Mus musculus: one gene and its partner. The protein of the gene in region 2 interacts with the protein of the main gene of each other region in a pairwise test. Links are inferred from orthologs where the notes say so. Each region holds a gene or a part of one and is shown on either strand. Other genes may lie near its edges.

Region 1 (5,976 bases), on a different chromosome or scaffold from region 2:
CCATGCCAAGGCATCCCTTCCCCCTGAGGAACCAGCCACAAGCGGTATAGTATAGAATAGAGGTTTTTCAGGGAATGGGGAGGGGAGTTAAGAGGGTAGTAGAGGCAGAGAAAGGGAGAGAGAGAGAGAGAGAGAAAGAGAGAGAGAGAGAGAGAGAGAGAGAGAGAGAGAGAGAGGCCAAGAGAAGCAAAGAGAAGCGAAGAGAAGCGAAGAGAAGCAAAGAGAAGTAGAGGCTGGCCATGACCACGTGGAGAGAGGGGGAATGGAAGAGCCCAAGAGGGCAAGAGAGAAGCAAGAGTAAGGGGGGGGGCAAGCAGTCCCTTTTACAGTGGGTCAGGCCTACCTGGCTGTTGCCAGGTAACTGTGGGGTGGAGTTTAGACAGAATGCTAGCAATAGCCGGGCAGTGGTGGCAAACACCTTTAATCCCAGCATTTGGGAGGCAGGGGCAGGCAGATTTCTGAGTTCTAGGCCAGCCTGGTCTACAGAGTGAGTTCCAGGACAGCCAGGGCTACACAGAGAAACCCTGCCTCAAAAACAAACAAACAAACAAAAAAAAACCAAACAAAAAAAGAATGCTAACAATATTCATTTCTAAGTTTCATTTTGTAAGTACGATAATCACACAAATTCTCTGTAAACACTAGAAGTTATGGTGACTAATAGTGTACTTGCTGCAGTGAAGTGCTCTACAACCATTTCCTTTTACAAAATTCAAATTCAGGCTAACCCTGTGCTCTAGAATGGAAAGAACAACATAAATATGTTCACATGATAATGTCTGAAGAAACAGAAGGAAGAATTTTTTTTAAGATTTATTTTATTTACATGAGTACACTGTAGCTGTCTTCAGACACACTAGAAGAGAGCATCAGATCCCATTACGGATGGTTGTGAGCCACCATGTGGTTGCTGGGAATTAAACTCAGGACCTTTGGAAGAGCAGTCAGTGCTCTTAACTTCTGAGCCATCTCTCCAGCCCAGGAAGAATGTTTAATGGTAGCTTTGTAGAGATAAATAAGAATACCATGTCATTTGTTTTGTTTAAGGCTGAAAAACCTTCAGCACTTAATTCAGAAGAGGAAACTCATGAACAGTCAACAGAGCAGGACAAAACCTACAGCTTCGAGGTGGACCTGAAGGATGAGGAGGATGGAGATGGGGATTTAAGTGTAGATCCAACGGAAGGAACACTAACACTGGATCTACAAGAAGGTACAAGTGAGCCTCAACAGAAAAGTCTCCCGGAGAACGGCGATTTCCCCGCGACCGTGTCCACTTCCTATGTGGATCCTAACCAACGCGCAAACATCACAAAGGGAAAGGAGAGTCAGGAGCAACCTGTAAGTGACTCACACCAGCAACCGAATGAAAGCAGCAAGCAAACCCAAGACTTAAAGGCTGAAGAAAGCCAGACACAAGATCCAGACATTCCCAATGAAGAAGAGGAAGAAGAAGAGGACGAAGAAGAGGAAGAAGAGGAAGAGCCGGAAGACATTGGTGCCCCCAGTGATAACCAAGAGGAGGGAAAAGAACCTCTGGAGGAGCAGCCTACCAGCAAGTGGGAAGGAAACAGAGAGCAATCTGATGACACCTTAGAAGAGTCCAGTCAGCCCACTCAGATAAGCAAGACAGAGAAGCATCAATCTGAGCAAGGAAACCAAGGGCAGGAGAGTGACTCTGAGGCAGAAGGAGAGGACAAGGCTGCAGGCAGCAAGGAACACATTCCACATACAGAGCAGCAGGACCAAGAAGGGAAAGCTGGCCTTGAAGCTATTGGCAACCAGAAGGACACTGATGAGAAGGCCGTTTCCACAGAACCTACCGATGCTGCCGTGGTGCCTAGGAGTCACGGAGGAGCTGGTGATAACGGGGGCGGGGATGACTCTAAGCATGGTGCAGGCGATGACTACTTCATCCCCAGCCAGGAATTCCTAGAGGCCGAAAGGATGCATTCCCTCTCCTATTACCTCAAATATGGCGGCGGCGAGGAGACAACGACTGGCGAGAGTGAGAACCGGAGGGAGGCTGCAGACAACCAAGAGGTGAGCGAGAATAGTCTTAGCTGTGCTACCCACATCCCCGCACCCTGGTGTGCGTGTTTATAGCAGGACTTACTAAAATACAGGGCAGGGTGAGCATCCTCATCTGACGTGACTGAGAACAAAAGCATTGTGATTGGTTTTTTTTTTAAATTTGGAGATTGCATGTACATAACGAGATATCTGGAAAATAGAGTCCAAGTTTAAGCACAAAATTTTTTCATTTTACACACTCTCTCTATGTGTTGTATATAACTTATGTGTAATTTTTTACGATATTTTTATGTGTCTCTCTTTTTTTGGGGGGGGGGGGTTGAGACAGGGTTTTTCTGTATAGCCCTGGCTGTCCTGGAACTCACTTTGTAGACCAGGCTGGCCTCGAACTCAGAAATCTGCCTGCCCCTGCCTCCTGAGTGCTGGGATTAAAGGCGTGCGCCACCACGCCCGGCTTATGTGTCTCTTTTAACTGTGACCTGTCAGCACTCAACCAGTAGTTGGATTTTGGAGAATTACATATTTCAAGCACTCAGATTATGGATTCTCACCTTGTACAATTATATCTTTTTCTGCCTGCCTCCATCATTAGACTGAAAACAACATGTTTTTATGTGGCCTCCCATTAGAAGGTGACCTTGAATTTGAGTGACAGTTATTTGAGAAGTATGAGAAACAAAGAGCTAGAAATGTTAAACATTGCATAGGGAAGGAAAAGAAGCTAACAACGAGACCCTCATTAAGTTCATAAAATAACAAACAAAACAAAACACAACCCTTCTAAGCATTATTCCATTCGGGAGCGAGGGAGCTGTCACACTTGTTTTGTCTGAGCCTTGCTCCCTTTCTGAGAGGTCATAACTCCCCAGCACATCCAGCCTGTCCTTTGAACAGACCACGTGGATGTCTACAGCTATGGGAGCGCAGAAATGCAGACAGTAGAATTAAAAATCCCTGTAGCTGCCTGGTGGTGGTTGTGCAGGCCTTTGATCCCAGCACTCCAGAGGCAGAGGCAGCCAGATCTCTGAGTTCAAGGCCAGCCTGCGATACAGAATGAGTTTCAGGGCAGCCTCGTGTACAGAGTGGGTTTCAGGACTCAGATAAACCCTGTCTCCGAAATTAATTAATTAATTAATTAATAAAACACACAAAAACTCCGTCCCTGGAGCTGGCTGGAATTTTTGACAGAGCTGAAGAATGAGCCTGCTGTCTCAAAAGTAGGCGCCACTCTGATCCCGCTGAGCCCCTGAGTCTCTCAGAAAACCCCCAACTGACTCAGAGAGACAGCAACATTTGTAAAATTAACCATAAACATTAGAAGTACTGCACTATTACGCAAACACACACCCCGATGAAAACGCAGAAGTTACAGTAGGGAGAAAGGGTTCTGCTTTGATTTTAGTGGTTTAATCACCTTGGACCTTCTGGCAACTTCCTAGCAGCACCCCATAGAAACTGACCCTGTCTGGGGTGGCAAGAAGTCTCAAGTCCTCAGACCTCTCCTGCCATTCTAAGGTAGAAAATGTCTTACACCTCAAAACCTGCTGAGAAAGTTTTATAAACACCTCCATGTAGGTGACTGATGGACCCCCCATTCTCAGGACAGAATCCCAAGATAATATCATGGAGACAGCGCTCTCCCGACTCTGAAGGGGTGATCCTATCTCACATGGGGTGACTCTTGCTCTCCAAGGGTTACTGTCTCACTCTGCAGTTGCAGGGGTTTCCCAACTGAGATCTGAACATGCAGGGCTCTGTGGAGGTATGCAGGGCTTTGTGGAGGTATACACAGCTCTGTAGTGTTAGGCACAACTTCTGCAGAGGTATGCACGGCTCCATGGAGGTATGCACAGAACACAGTAAGAGAGAAAACAAATTACTGCTCTCTTGAGAACACTGAAATTCTGCTCTTGCTCTTTTCAAAGGCCAAGAAAGCTGAGAGCTCACCAAATGCTGAACCTTCAGATGAGGGCAACTCAAGGGAGCACAGTGCTGGTGAGTGGACACTGTGTGAGCTGCAGCTGGTCCAGGAGGGATGGAGTCTGCCATTTGGGTTAGCACCCCTTCCATTATGACCCAGAAATCCACGTCCCCAGCCTCCCCAAGGAAATAGTTCATAAAGTGTTGGTATTTCTAATATATGTTTGATAAACTATGGGTCATCACGCTTACAAACTGAAAGACCTGTTGAGATTGTATACAAAGCGGTCTATATCCCACCCCACCCCCAGACCCCACCCCACTTTCAGCTCTGAGAAGTACTGATTCTGCTACTTATTCTCAAACCCATTCTTCCCAACCATGAACATCTTTAATCTCAGTAAATTAAATTCCCTGGCTTATCTTCAGACCTCTCTGCACCTCGTTTCCTACACCTGAGATTCTGAGGGTCTCAGGCAAGCCAAGAAAAGCTCTGGCCCTCTTCCAGCTCCAACCCAGTCTGTTGTAAAAAGATGTCTAAACTCCTGTGCACAGGTCTGATGCCAGAGAGTCCATCTGCAGATTAGCACATCAATTAAAGTGGTTCCCAGCATCTTCCTGCTCTCCTGTTCTCTGGAATCTGACTTCCTGTCTTGTTTTGTTACAATGATGCCAACAGTCTGTTTGACTGCGTGTTTAATACACAATTTCTCTGTGTCTCTGTTCCCTTTCCAATCTTTCCTGTTAGGTTCTTGCACGAACTTCCAATGTAAAAGGGGACACATTTGCAAAACCGATCCACAAGGGAAACCTCACTGTGTTTGCCAAGATCCAGAGACTTGTCCCCCTGCAAAAATCCTAGATCAGGTAAGTATTCTGAAAAATGGTCCCCGAGATACACCAAAACTCTAGTTTCTCGAGTAGAAATAGTTTGCAATTGAATCTGTTTTATGAGTTGGGACACAAGTTATTTAAAATTTGAAGCAATATTGAAAGGGAACAGATACCACAGAAATCAAAGTACTTCAACTGTGCCATAAAAAATGAAGAGTGGGGCCGAGGAGATGGCCCAGTGGGGAAAGCCTTCCGTGTAGGTCTAAGGATGGGAGGTGGGATTCCCAGAACCCACATAACTGCTAGGTGGGAGTGGTAACTCAGGGACACTTAGAAGGCAGAGATGGGACTTACTGGAAAAAGCTGACTGGGAAGACTAGTGGTATAGATGAGCTCTGCGTTCAACTGAGAGAGTCTGCCTTAGCAAATAAGGTGGGGAGAGATCAAAGAGAACTTCTCCCCCATCAGCGTATGTCCCTCCCACCAGCAGCCTAAGCCCTGCCCACCAGCAGTCTAAGACCCGCCCACTAGCACTCTAAGACCCGCCCACCAGCAGTATAAGATCCGCCCACCAGCAGTATAAGACCCGCCCACCAGCAGTCTAAGACCCGCCCACCAGCAGTCTAAGACCCGCCCACCAGCAGTCTAAGACCCGCCCACCAGCAGTCTAAGACCCGCCCGTCTTCAGCTAAGGTTCTCCCAACATCAGCCTAAGCCTCCCCCCCCACACCCATACATGCATGTGCATCTCTGTGCATACATATGAAACACAGAGTAAAGTGTGTGCATTATACCCGAAGCACATAAAATATTTATATTTTAATTTTAAAAGATGGCGCTAGCATTTGAGGAGGAGAAATTTTGAATTCCTTCTATCCTTGGGACATTCACAATTACAGTTCTATGGAGATCTATCAGGAGCTAAGTTATCACCATTAGTTTAACTTAGTAGATTTTTTTTTTTATGTGTGCCAAATTGGAGACTCGCTATTTTTACAGACTCTGCCAGAGCACATCTTTGGCACAGCACATTTACCAGGTGTTCTGTGAGTTCCAGGTAAGCATTCTCCAGTGAGTATCTGGTTCCATCACCGCTCCTTGCTTTCCTTATCTAGGCTTGTGGCACTGACAACCAAACCTACGCCAGCTCCTGTCACCTGTTTGCTACCAAGTGCAGGCTGGAGGGGA
Region 2 (6,672 bases):
AAGACGGCTACAGTGTACTTTCATATAATAAGTAAATAAATCTTAAAAAAAAATTAAAAAAAAACTCATCTCCATCTTCATTTTGTGTTCTACTGTTATATTTCTTGCTTGGCTTTTTCTAATCACCCCTTATTATTGTATTACTTTAAAAACTGCCCTAAGTTCCTATTTGGAACATACAGCAGAAAACTGACACCTAAGCTCCCCTCCCACATATGTCCCTGGGAAGTAGGTACAAAAATCTCGGAAACAGTAAAATTTTTCTGAATGTGCAATAATAAAAGTTTAATCCAGAAATTCTAAACACACTAAGGTGTTTCTGGCAGAGCTTCACAGTGCTGCATTGCACTTCACAGTGGTCTTGCTTCTATACACACATTATTCACTCTTTGCTCTGTGCATGCTGTTACACCGTGGAGTACCAAGAAGTGCTGCATCGAAACTCAGTTCAGATGCAAGACTACCATATGGTATGGCTGCAAAAGTTTTACTTATCACATACAATTGTCTTCTCTTATAGAATAATAATGTCATAATACAGAGAACAAGACATTTTTAATATTCTCCTACCATCATTCCTTAGCATAGGAGCTTCAAATGAGTATGTTTGGTTATGTTTGGATTATATTGTGTTTGAATGTTTAATATTTAAAATCAATGTCTTAAGTCTCTTTATAAAAAGGTAACAGAATTTTAACATAGGATTAGGATGAAATTTCCAAGATGACCCTAAATATATTTTTTCTGTTTCATGCTTTGAGAATTGTAAATCAAAATATTAATTAACTCTGAACAATATTACAGATGTTCTACATTCCACAGCTTCAAGTACTCATTCAAAACCTAATTTTTTGTAACAATAAACAAATCAATCTCATTGGTATGCAAATTTGCCTTAATCTTTAGTAAGTGGTAAAGTCATATATATGCCAAAAATTATCTTAACATTGCATTAGGATCTACCATTAGTCGATGTCTGATTTGAACACCTATTTTATATAAAATCCCAAGATTACATAAAAAGCATCTATGAAAAGAGGTTGCCCGTGGGAAAAGTTTAAGAAACCCCGCTCTACTTCTCAGTGAAGGTCTCAGGTTGTGATGAGGGTCCCTGCACAGGCTGGGTGACGTGTTCCCATTCAAGACGCCACCTACAAAACTTGGGCAGCAGCCCTGACTTTGCAGGGTGCGGACGAAAAGTCCGGAATGCCTCCTTTCTGGCTGCATGGAAAAAGCTGGACTGAGCCTCACTGGTTAGCCATGACTTCTGCTAACAAGGACACCCACAGCAAAGGGGCCTAAATTAGGGGACCAAGTGATTTTGTGAAAAACTCAGAGACTTTGGATTGAATGGAAGCAGGGGACATTCCTCTGATAGCTAAGAAGTAGGGACATTGGTTGGTCTTTGCTGAAGGAATTTAGTTGTGGGTCCTGAAGTTCAGGGACACATTTCTACTGGTCAAATTCTAAGTGAACTTACTTGGCAATTTGCCTCCTGATGTGCGGCAGGGCTAGCTGAGGTCACTAGAGGATGCTAACTGCTCTAAAGATTTGTTCACTGCTGTTATGTCAAGTCTCTGCTTTTGTGGAGGAATTTGCCTCATGTGTACGTTGCTTTGCTTTTCAAGCACTCCAGACTGGCTCCAGGTGTAGAAAATGCCATGTTCTTCAACATGCATGCTTTCATCCAGCAAATATACTGAGGCCCTTCTAAGTGTCAGGAGTTGGCTGCCCTTCTTTCAGAAGACATGGAGGGTTCTTGATGGGATCTGAAGGACCCTTGGACTTCTTAGTGCCACTTCAGACTTGAGGCACCCGCCTCTGCCTGTGCTGTTGGAAACTGCTGCCAAGTCAGCCTGACCCTTCTGAGATCCTGGAGAAGTTATGGAGAATACGTGAACAGCGTCCCCACCTGTGTTATTCTCCAACCTGTGCTCTGTGGTTGGACAGTTTGTAACCGAGGTGGTCCAGAGTTGTTTGGTTAATTGAAAGAAAGGAAGGAAGAAGGTGGGAGACAGAGGGAAGGAAGGAGGGGACCCTGGCATAGATTGGCTGGACTTCCTAGGTCCTGAAATGCAGCGGAGCGGAGTCCCCTCAGAAATTAACTCCAAAGGCCACCCACTGACCCGCTGCACACAGCCAGAACTCGCCCCCAGAGCCTTGTCTAGTGGTGGCCAAGGCCATCCACCACCACCTTCCGGTCACTGCCTGCTTTCGATCCTCGCGGAGAGCGCTTCCTCTCTCCTGACATTCTCCTCCTCTTCGCTCCTCTGGATCCCTCCTCCTTCTTTAGTCCCTCCTCCTCCCGCCCAGCCTCCCCCAGTCCCGACCCGAGCTAACTAGACGTCTGGGCAGCCCCAGCGCAACGCGCAGCAGCCTCCCTCCTCTTCTTCCCGCACTGTGCGCTCCTCCTGGGCTAGGGCGTCTGGATCGAGTCCCGGAGGCTACCGCCTCCCAGACAGACGACAGGTCACCTGGACGCGAGCCTGTGTCCGGGTCTCGTCGTTGCCGGCGCAGTCACTGGGCACAACCGTGGGACTCCGTCTGTCTCGGATTAATCCCGGAGAGCCAGAGCCAACCTCTCCCGGTCAGAGATGCGACCCTCAGGGACCGCGAGAACCACACTGCTGGTGTTGCTGACCGCGCTCTGCGCCGCAGGTGGGGCGTTGGAGGAAAAGAAAGGTAAGGGCGTGTCCCACCGGCCCGCGCCCCCTGCGAGCTAGCTCGCCCAGTCCCAACCTCCGCTCGGGACTCTAAGTCCCCAGCCGCCCGCTCCTCCTCTTCTGGCTCCCAAAGGCGGCCGGGACCATAGGAGGAACTGGACGGAGTCTGGAATGGGCGAGACTGGGGCCGCCGAAGGAAGGGAGACTGGGCTAGGAGCAGAGGGGCTGCCAGGGCAGCGTGGGAGCCGCGGCTGTGCGCTCCGGGGCTCTTGACTGCTGCCAACTTAGTTGCCTCACTTTCCTGCGCTCAGTAGGCGTTCGGAGCAGAAACGTGGTGCGGGACAGCGCGGGACGCCGGGCATTGGCGCACGTGCGCCCAGTACTGTCAGGGAGAGCGGAGGGACCCCGGATCCTCAAGCGGGTCGGGTGTGTCCCACCCGCTCAGTGTGAGAGTTGAGGGACTGGAGTGCGAACCAACGCGCCCCTGGTCAAGGTCGGAACCTCTGAGACGCGCGGTTTCCTGAGCGCGGTTTCCCTCAACTCCTCTCTTCTCCAGCAGGGTACTCTCAGGACCTGGTAGCCTGAGTCCCAATGTAGCTTGCAGATTTCTGGCTTGCCCTTTCGCGGGTGTGTAGTTGCAGCAATGACCTGGAAGTGTGGAGATCTCTCTGTCACTAACCACCTAGGACTTCTGGGAAGAGATGGTGTTAGTGGTCATTTGCTTCTTCACTAGGAAAAAAAAAAGGAGGGCGTGGGGGTGGCGGGTGGGGTGGGTCGATTCCGCCTCTTAGGCATAGAGCATGCCAGAGACTTGCCAGGCTAGGTGCACTGGTTGGGGACCAAGGCTCCATGCCAGATTGGAGCTAGCGTTGCGGGGTGGCTACTTCCCCTGGGATCCCTGAATTTGCCCTTTCCCAGAAGCTTGGGCTGCTGCAGCATCACTTGCCTTTGCAATGGATGGCTGACCTCCTTGTGACAGCTGGGCCCTTGGGTGTAGTGCACCCTTGGTGTTTCAAAATGAGGCCGGTAGCAAACTTTCTTACTTGTTAGCTGAGACGTTCCCTCTTGGGTTTCTTTTTCTTTTCTTTCCTTCCACACCCCTCCCCCCCCCCAAGTGATTGATATTTGGCCAACTAAAATATAACCCCTAATTAAAAAGAAACATTGATGTCCATGGATCACACATGCCAACTGTCCAGACGGAACATGAACAAGTCTGGCTTCATGACTATCCGACCATAAACCCACTTGACACGAGAAACATGCCTCGGAAGGTTTAATTGCACAATTTCAAAATCCAGCCGCTCGGGTTCCAGGAGTCAGGTCTGCACTTGCTGTTGATGTCATCCGCATCCAAGTTGGACTTGGGGGTTGGTGCTCCGTGCACTTTTGTTGGAGGGGGTGTAAGGCTCAGTTTCCCAAACTTAACTACACAATGAAATCATTTGGGTTTAAAAATCAACAAGCAAAACAAACTACACCCCTCCTCCGTTGTTTAGCTACCACTCCATACACTCAGATTTCACGGGTCGATCTTGAGAATTAGAATTTTCAAAACTCTTGTAGCATTTGATTTGAGACTCGCTAGCATAAATGAAAAATTGATAACATCTAAAGGAAGACTACCACGACGGTTCTAACGAGCAGGAGTCTGGGAAATCTTGCAGTACAGGAAATAGCAGGGATAAAGTCGGTAAAGAGGGCTTGCTTTTTTCACAGATGGGATGGAGCACTGTGGAGCTTTTCTCCTACCTTCCTTAGCTGAAGGGCTCCAGGCCCCATCGGTCAGTTGCCTGGCATCTGTGCCTACCCATAGGACTCCCTCCCCTAGTTTTCAGTTTCCCTTAGAGCCCCTGTAGAACACCAGTTGTCTCAGCTTAACTCTGTGTTTCTTCGCTGTTAGGTGTTACTGTTATGAACACTGTTAGTGGTTGGAGATTTGTTTTCGGTTAAATAAAAATGCCACTTCATCTGTCTGTTTGTATGATATTCACTTAAAGCCAAATGCTTCTGGGTGTAGCAGGAAAGGTAGCAAGCAAATATTTATCTGTCAAAGTAACGTAAAAAGGCTAAGTTCTAAAGGACAGATTATTGAAAACGTGAGACACCCTTTCTGCAACAGGCTGATAAAAGATTTGTTTGTTTAATTGGTCAGTTTTGTTCCAGACTGGCTCCCTTAGTTGAGGTAGGGTGTTTATCCTTCCCTCCAAATCTATGGTACCATATGTAAATGTCATCAAAGCAGAAGACAGTTAGACTCTGTTTTCAGTGCATTGTCAGTCCTCACATTGCATGTAGTGAGAGGTGATTCTCATCATCTGTTTGGGGAACCTATGCACAGAGAAGTGTAGTGATTTTCCCCCATAGCTGTTAAGAAGTGATGCCAAAATTGATTCAAGTTCCTTCCACCTCCAAACTACACTACCTTATTGTAGGAGGACCAGGCTAGGTTAGGTGTGTAAATGACTCAGTTCTGATGCTAGAAGGATAAGGACCAGGAAACAGGCATTTGAAAAATCAGTCCCCATCTGAAGCTTGCTTGTTTAGTGGCCTACTTTCCTGTTCATGGATGCTGTGGTCTCCTGGGTTGCCTTTGATGGGGGCAATGTTGTCACTAAAACAAAATATGGGCAAGGTATTAGCTTGGACTTGCTGAGCAAGTTCCACCTGTACCATGATGGCAGGAGAAGGCGCTTCTTTGGAAAAGATCCTGTGCAGAGCAAATGAGGAGAGAAGGGACCCTCAGCCTGAATAAGGCAGTGGAGTTTGGAGGTGGAACCAACTTGAAGGGGATTCCAAAGGCTTCTCAAGACTGTCTGTCTGTCTGTCTGTCTGTCTGTCTGTCTGTCTCTCAGAAGACTGGGTCTTGGGAAGCCCAGTACTGGCTTTCTATCCAAGAAGCTTATGTTTTCATTCCAGGTCTAGATTAGATGGAAAGTCCCACTGGAACTCCAGGCTTCTGAAGTCTCCTTTCTAGATTCAGTAAATGTTTATTGCTTGTCTAAGATGTGGCAGACATTATGAGTTTAAAGGGGGATCTTAATGATTATATTATTGCTTCCAAACATATGTAGTTCTTGAAACCACTAGTTAAACATTGGTAATCTGCTTTTCAAATATGTAAAACAGACTAGTACTCCGACTGACTTTCTTACGGTGCACATTCCCAGTGGTAGGACATGATGTTATCTGAAGTCAGGTGGTGACACCAATAGACTCAACAGCTTCCGTTGGCTTTATTTACTTAGCCTCATAAGTCATAACTTTTCTAAAAGGAAAAAAAGGTGCTGGATTTGATATCTTAATCTCTGAAGGCTCTATCACTACCAAAATGTCTGGTCCTTTTGACGGGCTATCTGTGAAACGTGTATGCTAAGAATGGCTTTCAATCTTAGCAGTTCAAGCAGCTTGCTTTAAAAGCTATATGGGAATTATCACAGGGGGCCCTTCTTTCATGTTTACACTTCTGGGTGATTTCTTTCCAACAGACCTAGATTCCAAGTACCCTTTTCTAACTCTGTTCAACTTTTCATCAACAAAAGGCTAAACTTAAAGTTTTGGAACATTTTTTTTTTATCCCTAAATATCTCTGCAATTTCATTGTTACTGAGGAGTCCCCACACATAAGCTGCTTTATATAATTATGTAAGTTAATCACTATTGTTTGCCTTTTGAATATAAGGCCAGGCATTGAACTATTTTTTTATCCTTTTCTTTGTATTTGAGCCATGATGCATAATTTGTGCCATGCTGTCTATGTTTTGAGATATGAGAATGAGTTGGTCTTGATACCTCCCTTGAAGTGTCTAAAAGTTATTTATTAGAAGACCTAGTGAAAGATCATAAGACAGAGTCATAGAAGAAATGGAAGATCTGCATGGGAAAGGGATACTTTATAAGACAGAGTTTTGCTTTTAATTCTACCTGAGGAAGAGACAAAGAAAATCCCCAAATGGAAAAATCATTTGGGAAAAAGAGACTACTGGTTACAGAAGTGGCATCGAGAGTC

What was found. The genes of interacting proteins can lie anywhere in the genome.
Region 1: the proteins of Egfr (region 2) and Sparcl1 interact in a protein complementation assay, tested with the Homo sapiens proteins (2 studies listed by BioGRID and IntAct). The link is inferred for Mus musculus from reciprocal best matches to the Homo sapiens genes EGFR and SPARCL1.

The regions. Positions count from the first base shown.
Region 1 is NC_000071.6:104,088,445-104,094,420, reverse strand, and holds part of Sparcl1 (SPARC-like protein 1 precursor), read left to right. Parts: intron 1-1,047; coding exon 1,048-2,043; intron 2,044-3,959; coding exon 3,960-4,029; intron 4,030-4,702; coding exon 4,703-4,821; intron 4,822-5,903; coding exon 5,904-5,976.
Region 2 is NC_000077.6:16,749,889-16,756,560, forward strand, and holds the start of Egfr (epidermal growth factor receptor isoform 1 precursor), read left to right. Parts: upstream 1-2,314; 5' UTR 2,315-2,594; coding exon 2,595-2,682; intron 2,683-6,672. UniProt on the Homo sapiens protein: Receptor tyrosine kinase binding ligands of the EGF family and activating several signaling cascades to convert extracellular cues into appropriate cellular responses.